Linked DNA regions of Danio rerio. The protein of the gene in region 2 purifies or fractionates together with the protein of the main gene of each other region. This does not show direct contact. Links are inferred from orthologs where the notes say so. Each region holds a gene or a part of one and is shown on either strand. Other genes may lie near its edges.

Region 1 (3,654 bases), on a different chromosome or scaffold from region 2:
ACCAAACTACATTGTTAGCATGCCTGAAATCTGAAAGCTAATCTTCCTGCTTTTAAAATGAAACAAGTGTCAGCTTTTAAATTCTGTCTGTATTATAATATAATATAATATAATATAATATAATATAATATAATATAATATAATATAATATAATATAATATAATATAAATCCAGAGCCTTAATCTAACACTCAAGCTTTTTTGTTAAGTGTAAAACGATGTTACTTCTTTATTTGTACATTATTTTGAACAATACCTGGAAATATTATATGGTTAAGCATGATTATCATATTTGTTTAACAAAAAGTAATTACATTTATTAATGTATTAATCTCATTGTCATTTTTCCCCAGTATCTCATTGCAGAGTTTTTTTTTTAACCAAATATTATAATGTTTGAAAAGGAAAGAAAAAAAAACATAATTATTAGTCTCGTATTTTTACTGTTGGTGGTAAAATAAATAAATAATTAAATAATATTAATATTATTACATGAATTAATGTATTAAATACTTTAGTTGTACTTTTATGCACCTACAAGCAAATGCATTCTTAAATGCAATAAAAATGATACTAATATTAATAAACAACTATTGGCTGTTCTAACTTGTCACTTGTTTGAGATTTTTAAACTCAAAAATAAAATTACAGTTTTAATCATGTTTTAAATAAGAAAAGTTTAAAACACTTTCATTAAGATATACTAACTATTTTATAGCTTATGTATTTGATCCATTTAACATTCATCAGGCTATTATTATATTATATTATATTATATTATATTATATTATATTATATTATATTATATTATATTATATTATTAGTGATTGATACATTAGTGATGGCATTAGTTATTAGTGATCATTAGTGACATTATCTGTACTTGGTATTTATTCAAAAGCATCATTGAACTAAAAGCTTGTGATTAGAAATGTAATCCTCTTGTCATTATACTTTATTACATATAAAGTGAAGTTCAAATCGTTCAGATCAAATCCAGCAGCCGGATTTTACCTGTGAGGAGTATTTGGCCCTCAGACGTCCTGCTTCACAGTTCTTGTCACAGACACGGGTCCGTCTCTCTCTGTCCAAATCCCTCTTCAGCCTGTCGCAGGACTCGCTGGCGTCCCGCACCTTCTTCTCACACTCCACACGGAGGCGCTCGATCTCCTTCCTTAGGTTCCGCTTGGCTTCGATGGCCTCCCTCAGCCGGCCCTTCTTAGTCACCCTGACAAACTCCAGCTCCTGTCAGAGACAATCAGTGTTACTGATCATGGACAACATGTGAAGCCGACAAAGCAATCTGGAGACTACATTTACCAACTATTCTATTATTATTCATTCATTCATTTATTTTTCGGCTTGGTCCCTTTATTTATCAAGGGTCGTCACAGCAGAATGAACCGCCAACTTATCCAGCATATGTTTTATGCAGCGGATGCCCTTCCAGCTGCAACCCATCAGGGAAAAAAACAACCAATCACACTCTCTTTCACACTCATACACTATGGACAATTTAAAAAATTCAATTCACCTATACCACATGTCAATGGACTGTGGGGAACCCATGCGAACATGGGGAGAACATACAAACTCCACACAGAAATGCCAACTGTGACTCAGCTGGGGCTTGAACCAGCGATCTTCTTGCTGTGAGGTGACATCGCTACCCACTGCGCCACCTCTAATATTATTATATTATCTCTTTTAACTATTAACATCATTATTAAATTTATTTTTGTTACAGTATTTTAGATCAGTTTGTTTTGTATTAGCTTTATTTATTTTATTTATTTTTCAGTTTTAGCTTTAGTATTTCAGTACTTCATCAAACTGTATTTCAGTTAGTGGACTTATCAACATACAAAATATTCAAAAATATTGAAATAATAAATTAAATAAGTGAAGAAGTGTTATATTTGAAATATTCAGAATTGTATTATTACTAATGGTATTATTTAAAACAGATTTCATAGAATATGAAGTAATATTTTGGTTTGTATTAAAAACATATATAAAATACATATATATATACTACTTACCTAACAGTTTTAAAGGTTACATTCTTCACCATAAAAATATACATTCATAGAAAACATTACTATTTCTATATCTAGAAACTGATCTACTCTATTTTTAGTGTTTAAATAGATTTATATAAAATTTATTAATATAAATTGTATATAAATGTAACTTTTGTCAGGTTTATGTGTATTTCAACACATATGTATATTTATTATGTATATTGCTGAATATTTATCAGTCCACACCTGCTGCAGGCTGCGTTTGGCTTGCAGAGCGGCTGCCAGTTTCTCCTCCTGCTTCACCCTCATGCGGATGATCTCCTGCAGGAACTTCTCTCTGGCCTCTTTGGAGCTCAGGTCACTGCTGAGCGTCTGCTTGAGGAGCTCCAGCTCTGAACAATGACCCGCTGCCAGTCTCGCCCTCCCATCATGCACCTCTGCAGAGCTGTGAGGGCTGAGGGTCATCACCCCGACACCATTGGTGAAGGGAGGAGACATCAGCGAACGAGAGACAGCAACTGCAATCAGAAAATAGACAATACAGGTGATGAAGTAAAAGCACACTATTTATTTTACTCTAAATCGAAACAGTAGACATGATTCCATCACAAGTATGCACAAAACTTTTGCAAAAATTTTAGAATGTTGATAAAAACAATTGCGGAAATGACAGGATTTACATTACTGTAACTGTAAATGGGACAATTTGTTCCTCAGTGTAATAGATATACAACATTTTGGTCTTTCAGCAGTAAAAATTAAACCACACTGAACTGAAATAAAATGAACTGACACAGTTTTAGTTTACTAGAACTTCTATGTTAAGCTGCTTTGACACAATCTACATTTTAAAAGCGCTATATAAATAAAGATGAACTGAATATATACCACACCACACACTTACGACAAACATTTCACAACATTAATACTAAAAACAGCGTTATGTGTTATGTGACTAAAACTCATCGTTTCATAGTCATTCTAAAAGTTATGGTGATATATTTCATAAGTATGTTCACTATACTGCAGTCAACATACTTGACATTACTTTTGATAAAATGAGATACATGTGCACCAGACAAACAATATCACTCCACAGAGAAACTGAGGATTCTGAAGTTCTATACGAGCAGATCAACTATATTTGAGTTGTGCAAGTTTCTATAAATAAACAGATTGACTGTGTGATTTTATACCATGTGACCTCTAAAAGCAAAAAAAGTTTGTTGCAGCTTTGCAAAAAAATTTTTTATTAATTTGCCTCCAAATCACCTCATGAGAGCGAAAAATTTACAGTTTGCATTAGGCCAAATGTTTTTATTTTGCTCAATGCAGCCTTTTACAATTATACTAAACTCTTAACAAAATCAACATTGCTGCATTTACTAAATAAACAAATCAATATATTATATTTTATAGAAATAAACACAAAACAAAACAAAAAAACATACTTAAAAAAAGCTTCTCCTATTGAGGTAAGAGGTAATCTATTTAAAATTGACTCTTATAATCATACTGAACAAAGTTCTAGAAACATGTATTGAGCTAATCAATACGGAACTGCCAGATAGGAACTCTATTGCCCACAAAACATTTTTCATCCACATCTTCCTCTGTTAAATGTGATGAAA
Region 2 (4,039 bases):
GGAAAACCTGAAAAGTTCATAGAATTTTGACATGGAATTTTCCAGGCCTGGAAAAGTTTGCACGCCAATCCCCATGAACATGTTTTGGAAAAACAGAAAAACCCACAAAGTTTTGGAAAAGTCATGGAAAACAGATTCTTTATACTTGAATATAGGTTATTTACTTCTTTACTGTCCTTGGCCAATCACATCCTCTCACATTATTAGTGTGGTGTAAGCATTATCTAAATCAATTTTACATAGATATAAATATAAATTGAAACTAAATAGATTGTTGTGTGTTTTACGAGATGCTGTAATTAATTTGAACATGCATTGTTTTTCTTTTACCACGCATATGTAGACTGTGCATGAAACATTAGGTCATGAAAATGGACTTGAAAGTCTTGGAAAAAGCGTGGAGATTTAGTAGTAAAAATGTGAATATAATAATATATAATTTTGTAAATAATAAATGGTTGTAGGTATTAAATAATAATTTCCCTTTTTAAAACAGTTTATTGATTTTCTCTAACTGCAAGAGTCGGCTGATTTAATGGGGTTTGAGCTTCTCACACTGCTAGTTCGGTTTGTAAGTGTTGTTTTTTAGTGATCTATAAATAATATAAACTCTATAAACATCTGTTTAATTTACTGAGCACCAATATTAAATGATCACAATAGAGCAACGAATCAGCACATTATGATGATTTCTGATGGACAATGTCTGGAGTAATGACGCTATAAGTTTTGAATCACAGGACTAAATAACATTTCAAAAATATGCTCTAACGGCAAATAAAATAAATAAAATTCACAAGAGCACACAACAAACTATGGTGGCATGATGCTCATTCAAAACGACAGTCTCGTTCATTTTTCCAGTCTCTCCTGGAGTCAAATGTTTCTTAAGACAAGAAAATTACATAAAATATGTTAAAAAAACAAAATTGTATTGTACACTGCAGTACGGGAGAATTGAAGTAAAAAATGCCATAGGTTTTCTGAAAAGCCATCCCTAAATCAGACATGTAGGTCCTAAATCTAAAATGTCCCTGTAAGATCCCAGAGGGACTGTAATTTAATGCATTTAATATAAACAATTGATTTTCATGAGTGAATAGTTTATGTACTCTGCTGCCCTCTGGAGTTGAAAGGTGTGAATTACTTTGCGCTTGTTACATATTCAGGGGTTTCCTCTATCTATACCAGAGATGACCAAACTAGGGCCCTGGTAACCTTTGATTTAGTATGCATCCCATCTGAGAAAAGAGAGACAATGATGGGAGGGTTTCAAGATTGTAAATTCAAATTTAATGTAATCTTTTGTTTGTTTTTTTCTTAAGAGCTAGCTAAAATTAACAATTATTAAAAGGGTGTAAATTGGTCAGATTTTGTTTAAATCTAAATACTGTCACCCGACAATGCAACGACTTTGGTGAGCAAATTAAGTCAAAGTCAGATTTCGCTTGACCATCATATTCAGCATTGAACTTGACTTTTATAAATGTGATTGTTTTATTGCAGTAAGGTGTCGTTTAAAAAGTAATACTGCATTAGTTAATATTGTTCAGAGTAATGGTTTCTATTTATTTTGAAATATTAGGAAATGAACAAGGAAATTATCCACTGCAATTTTAATGGAATATAGTTTCGTATGTTTACCTTTGGCCCATGGTTTGCAATGATATTAGAGTTTTGGGCCATCATACAAAAAAGTTTGAACACCCCTGATCTATACAGATGAAATTTCTTTGCCTTGAACATTGGTGTTCTCTATTCTGAAAGTCCTGTTTGTTTCTTTTGCAGGCGCCTTCCATGTATGCACCTCTTCCATCAACTGTGTGTAGACCAATGGCTCCTCACTAATAAAAAATGCCCCATCTGCAGAGTGGACATCGAGGCTCAGTTATCTTCAGAGAGTTGATGCTATTTTTCTTGCTACATTTTTGTTGGACATTATTTTGTTGTTTTCCTTTTCCTTTTCGTCAGTAACGCATTCAACCAAAGATGGCATGAAATACCTGCGCAACTATGGGAAAAAAGAAACAAAACAACAATCCACACACACAGACACACACAAAAGCATCAAGCCTAGCGTGCCAGCTATCATGTAGTACCAGTACAGCTAGAAATAACATCTTCATTAAGGGTTTTGAATTGTATTGTATTTATAAAGGGTTTATGTAGCTTTTGTTTTCATAAGTGTCATTGTATTTTATTTTTTTGCATGGTTCCTTGCAATGCATTTCTTTGCACATTTAATGAACTAGGCCTCATACGGCCTGAGAACTTGCAGGCGAGGATTGCTGCTCTGGTAAAGAAGCATTTTTACATACCTGATGCCTTGCTTTACTGGAATAGAATGTCAACCTCCATTTTAAAACATTGCAGGACTCAATTTATTGATCAGTATATTGATTAGTTTTATGTTTTAGACAATTGTGATCTGATTTTTTTTTTTTAAAGTGAATCAAGACATTCCTTAATTAGGAAACAAGATCATGGTTAAGAAGATCAGCTGCTGTAACAGTGTTCACCCTCACGCCAATTCACTCTCCACACGGGAACCTGGGCTGGAGTCCATTGCATTTCACTTTGGCTCGTTTACCAGCGCTAACTCGATTGAGGGAGTTAGCGTGAAAGCATTCAGAGATGCGCCTTGTACATTTACTCTTAAATTTATATGCATTAGATCCTGAACCAACGGAACAGAAATGAATTCAACTCCAGCCCTGATGAGAACCAACTGCACACTTCACCTCTTGAACGTTCGCACGGTTGCGTTCCATCAGTCCCCTCTCAGCACCTCAATCTGCCGTCACATGTAACGCACTTCACCTGATGTATTTTCAAAGAGAAAGAAAAAAATGAATGTCACCTACCTGTATTCTGATTGATTGTTGTTTTTATTCTATGATGAAGTCGGATTCTCGATCGAGTGTAATTTCTCAGATGAGCTCGATTTGTTGACTTGGTTCGGTGAGAATGACAGGCCTATAGAAACAGCCACCGCAAAACATGGAGTGCTGGGATTATTTATTTTTTCATCAGGGTCTCCTAGCCTACTTCATTTAACTCTCTTTCTCTCTCAGCAACCTAAAAAGTGACTCTTGTTAGCTGATTATTTCCTCTCGGATATTGCCATTAACATGCATTTGTTTTTTGCGACTGTGCAGCAAACTGTTTTCCCCTTTTCTTTGCTTAATTTTTGTTTCTTCTTCTTTTGCTGCTGTGAAATCCTAACACTAATATTAATCTCAACTAGCTAACTTGCATATACTTGCACATGAGAGACAAAAGACAGGAGTGCTGTGATAATGAGAGTGTGCTGAGGCCGTGTATTTCCACTCTGATTGCTGAATTTTGAGGAAAAACTGTAATAATTTTGAATGGAGTGTTGGAATGCAGTACTTAATGGCAGGCGTCCATGCATTCATAGATTTAATGGCCCCAGGATGATATTCCATGGGATTTATATTAGTTTTAAAATAATGAAATTAATAAAGTTAGGTAACTCTTTTATGTGTCCATTCTTGTGCCTTCTTCTGCTTCACAGATTTACCAAGGTAATTATGATTTAACTGAGGTAACCTAGAAACTGTATGAACGTCATGCAAATGATCTGTGTACTATACAAACCTGCATTCTCTCACGTAGAGCAGTTTTCTAGACTGCAGTTTTCAGAACACACCTACGGATGCTAATGTAAAATCTATTTAAACAACATTCATTATTACTTGGTTATTGAAAAAGTTTTCTACTGATTATTACTTGCAGCCTACTGAACGAGAATACCTTTGCTGTATATGTAGACAATGAAAAGTGTTGTGGTTGTTTTAACAGAGTTTTTGTGCATAATTAATACTAGATCTGTACTAAAAAAGAATAGAAAATACATTCCCAAATAATGTTTAACAGAGCAAGTACATTTTCACTGTATGTCTGATAATATTTTTTCTTCTGGGGAATGTCTTATTTGTTTTATTTTGGCTAGAATAAAAGCAGCGTTACATTACTAGCCCCTTTAAGGAATATTTAATTTTGATAGTCTACAGAA
Region 3 (4,215 bases), on a different chromosome or scaffold from region 2:
ATTTTTAGTTACTCCTCAAAAAAGTAAGTTACATTACTAAGTTACTTTTTATAATAAGTAATGTGTCACGCTACTTTTGAGTTACTTTTGCATTACCTTTTCTGACCTGGCTGAGACTTGATCTGTTTCAGATCTTGCAGGATTTTTTCCTTCTTTTTTAAAATAAAGCAGCTCTGCAATAAACATCGCACTAAATAACCTACACCTTCATTTACCTTTTAAAAACACATCATAAAATAATAATGTAGGATAATCTTATCTTTTGAGAACTTCCTGACCCTCAAGGATATATGCCTATACAGGTAATAATGAAAGTCTAATGCAATGTGACTACTACTTTTGTCTTTTTTGTGCTATTAATAAAGTAAAATCACTATCCATTGAGACTATAATCCTGTTTTCCTTTTCTGTGATTCGTTCAGAATAATAAGAAAACTCCCATTGCAGAAATATAAGGCTCTGCCATGTTGGTTTCTGTCTTTTCCTGCATTCTATCATTGAGTGTGGGATTCAATCTGACATTTATTTTATTTCAGCCATTTGTTTTTATAAGCTAATTAATTAAGCTAAAAAGTCACTCAAATAGTATTACTTAATTTTTAAAAATATGCATTACTCATTACTTAGAAAAGTAATATTATTACGTAACTCGTTACTTGTAATGTGTTACGCCCTCAACACTATAATTGTAAAACAGAATAATGTTTTATGTCTTTACCAAGTACAAAAACTGTGATGTTTTGCATGATATGTATTTCATTTAAACAGCCCATTTCAGATGAGTCATTATCTGTGAAACATTGACAGACCTCAGCTCATGCTGCCATTCATTATTCCTCAAAAATCATGCTAAGTCATAGCGTGAATGGGGATGTGGCTAAAGTTACTATTTAATTTCCATTTACTCCTTTCTCTTACCATAAAGTGATTCAAATTCAGCATGCTCCACTATGACTGTCCCTAAGTAGACAGCAAAACTCCCTTATTTCTAAAGAAATGTCCCTTGGTTAGTCATGTGTGCAAGCGCAAGTTACTAGTAGACCACAGATGACAACTGAACATGTACTACATGCATTACATTACATTTACTGTAACCTGTAAATTCTTGCAAAGTTCATGAGAATCTGGCGGCGCGCTGCAGACAGACAGGACAGACAGACAGACAGACACACATACATAGACACGCCCGCGCAACATCATCCGCTCCGCCAGTGCGCGCTCTCGCTGTGTGTGACGCGCGATCTGTCTGAAGGCTTTGAGTGTGTGCGCGTGTTGTTGACGCTCAGACAGACTAGAGGAGAGACCGAGAGAGACAGCAGAGCAGATCGTTCATCCTGAGGCAAGTCCCTTTAAAACCCACATCTGATTCGCCTATACACTGCGTCCATTACTCTGGTGGATCAGCAGTTTGTCGCTGTGTTTTTTAAAACCGTTTTGAAGGTTTGTAATAGTTAAGTGACGTTTATTTCTGTCTCTGAACGGGGATTTGTAGCGTTAGCTCGGTTAGCGCGTGCTAAAGGGTCTAAATATTCTAGCCGCACTGCTAAAGCTGTCTGTGCGAACGAGCCAGTTTTTCAGATGTTAAACCGGTTTTGGTGCTGTCAATGAGCAATAATAATTTGCTTATAGGTGGCGTGTGAATTTTTGAGATGTGTGTTTTGATGTGCCATTTAAAAGGGTATAATATACGTGTATATTATGTGTTTAACCTGGTCATATTGGTGATCGAGCTGGGAGTATTTGTGTGATTGATTTAAATCTTAGATATGATCTATATTGTGTTTAATACAAATGTCTGTATTTCTGTTTTTCAAAAACAGTTTTGGGGATATCGCTGTTTAACGTATTTTGAGGGGGTGGTCAGGTGTCAGACTGGCTGAATGGTTGGCAAACGTTTCACTGCCGAATGAAGACATGGGAATGGATTTAAAATAGAAGCTTTCGATGTCGTGTTGGGATATTTAATGTGTAATAGCCGTGATCAGGTTTTCTTTTCATGTGAAGGGTTTTCCCGATTGCGGGGATGGTGATTGTCACACCGCGGGTGCTCAGCGCAGCTGTGCCCGGAGAAGGAGAGGGGAGAGACGGGTAGAGGCGGGGACAGAGCCGCGGTGTCCTTGCGGGGGTAAAAAGAGAGACGCTGTCATTCAGGGTTAAAAATAGACCGCGTTTTGCCAGTGTTTCTGGAAACTGGTTATTTTATGAGGAAATGAAACGACGTCTGCGGTCAGGGTCAGTCTGTTTGAGTTGACCCGCAAATCTGGTAACGTTAAAGCAAAACCAAGCGTTTATTTCGAGGAACTTGAGATTATTATGCTTTGGTGGCCCTTTAATTTTCGCCAAAATGAATGCATTCCGTTTGTAGAACAGAAACGCATGTTGTGATTCTGAAATGAAACGCGTTTTTCTGATGGATTTTGCCGAAACCCCACTGGCATGCGCTGAATTTGAGGCTGAGCTTTCATTTTGCCTTCATATTCGTGCTCGGAAATTCCGCCAGTTCAGGCTTTTGCTTGTACGATGAAAACATCCTTTTTTATTTACAATATAATATATACATTTAATCTTGCGTGGCAGAAGTGGTGTTTATGTGTCGTTAATACATTTTGTTTCAAGCCTGCTGTGGTTGGACAGGACTAAATGGCTGCTCGCTGTTAGTTACTGATGCTGTTGGTTATCTGTGTTAAACCGACGTTATTAGTGCACTGACTCATTTACCGCCTTGACGGATTCGGCATGTTGTCAGTAGAGAAAAACAGCGCACTAAACCAGCGAGAAACTGGCCTTAGATCGATTGCTTTCAAATTAGATTATCCTGATGAGGTGAAAATGTTTCTGTCGTCTAGTTTAGCACTGTGCCCAACGCTAAAACGCTTCTGGATGCCTTTTAATTGCTCTGGCAGCATTTTCCATTCATCCGCATTCACGTGGCTTCACATTCTGATTTGTGTTTGATTTAGTAAGAATTGTATTTTAATACAAGCCTTTTTTACCTTTTCATTCACAGGAAGCTCGTTGAACATTTAATTCTGTCAGCATCATGCATGTAGCTAGACGTAAAAGGATTTGCAACCTTTAACACAGCGAGCAAAGTAGGACCAACCCAAAGGTGTCGTGTCTGACGATTATTTTCCACCCAAGGAAGACCAGTTATCTGTGTATGGATATGGCCAGCCCTCAGACAGGTCTGAAAACCCCTTTTAAAGACCTGACCTCATTTAAAGGCAACATGAAGCGGCTGTACAGGGAGCGACTGGAAGATGCTCCCATTAAAAAACGGGTAATGGCAGAGATGCATTTGAAACGTCGCAGCCTGGAGAGCATCCCCAAACCCCTAAAAGTCAAGAAGGAGCGTGAGGAGCACACCAGCTCAGAAATGGACATGGAGGAAAGAGAATTCCACATTGTCGGAGCATCCAAGGCTTTAGATCTGAGCGCCGGCCTCAAGCACACGCTGGCACAGTTCACGCTGAGCAGCCAGAGCTCCCTGGGAGGTCCTGCTGCTTTCTCAGCAAAATCGGCACAGGAGTGCGCCTCTCCTGCTGGCATGGCTCCCCTACCGTCTCCCCCAGTCCTCGGAGGAGGCCCACTCTTAGTGCCCTGTGACAGCTCCACAGAGCTTACCCATTCTCTCCTTGAAGGAGAGTCCATCTCCTGCTTTGTTGTAGGTGGTGAGAAGCGTCTTTGTCTGCCCCAGGTACTCAATTCAGTGCTCCGAGACTTCTCTCTGCAGCAGATCAATGCTGTTTGTGATGAACTTTACGTTTACTGTTCGCGGTGTCATGCGGAGCAGCTGCACATTCTCAAGGTGCTGGGCATTTTGCCTTTTAATGCACCTTCCTGTGGCCTGATTACCCTAACTGATGCCCAACGGCTCTGCAATGCCCTGCTTCGCCCAGGTGCCACCATCTCAGCAGATCCCAACAGCAAACTGCCAGGCCAAGGCCTGCTGAAGGAGAGTGACATCAGTTTCCAGGTGGAGCACCAGTGTCTTGGCAAGTGCCAAGGCCTGTTTGTGCCCCATTTCTACGTCCAGCCGGATGCCCCTTGCATTCAGTGCATGGAGTGCCAGCTGCTGTTTTCCCCACAGAACTTTGTAATGCACTCACACAAGTCCCCTGACAAGAGGACCTGCCACTGGGGCTTCGATTCAGCCAAGTGGCCCTGCTACCTTCAGCTGGGGCGCAAGCATGAGGGCACACAGGAGGAGCCACA

Evidence for each region.
Region 1: the proteins of rnf111 (region 2) and skib purify together in Homo sapiens (affinity purification with western blotting, with the first as the bait; 3 studies listed by BioGRID). This does not show direct contact. The link is inferred for Danio rerio from reciprocal best matches to the Homo sapiens genes RNF111 and SKI.
Region 3: the proteins of rnf111 (region 2) and skila purify together in Homo sapiens (affinity purification with western blotting; 3 studies listed by BioGRID). This does not show direct contact. The link is inferred for Danio rerio from reciprocal best matches to the Homo sapiens genes RNF111 and SKIL.

The regions. Positions count from the first base shown.
Region 1 is NC_133186.1:27,858,145-27,861,798, forward strand, and holds part of skib (v-ski avian sarcoma viral oncogene homolog b), read right to left. Parts: intron 2,542-3,654; coding exon 2,270-2,541; intron 1,245-2,269; coding exon 1,014-1,244; intron 1-1,013. UniProt on the Homo sapiens protein: May play a role in terminal differentiation of skeletal muscle cells but not in the determination of cells to the myogenic lineage. Functions as a repressor of TGF-beta signaling.
Region 2 is NC_133182.1:30,527,750-30,531,788, reverse strand, and holds the end of rnf111 (E3 ubiquitin-protein ligase Arkadia), read left to right. Parts: intron 1-1,788; coding exon 1,789-1,906; 3' UTR 1,907-3,502; downstream 3,503-4,039. UniProt on the Homo sapiens protein: E3 ubiquitin-protein ligase. Required for mesoderm patterning during embryonic development. Acts as an enhancer of the transcriptional responses of the SMAD2/SMAD3 effectors, which are activated downstream of BMP.
Region 3 is NC_133177.1:40,324,421-40,328,635, reverse strand, and holds the start of skila (ski-like protein), read left to right. Parts: upstream 1-1,284; 5' UTR 1,285-1,339; intron 1,340-3,007; 5' UTR 3,008-3,160; coding exon 3,161-4,215. UniProt on the Homo sapiens protein: May have regulatory role in cell division or differentiation in response to extracellular signals.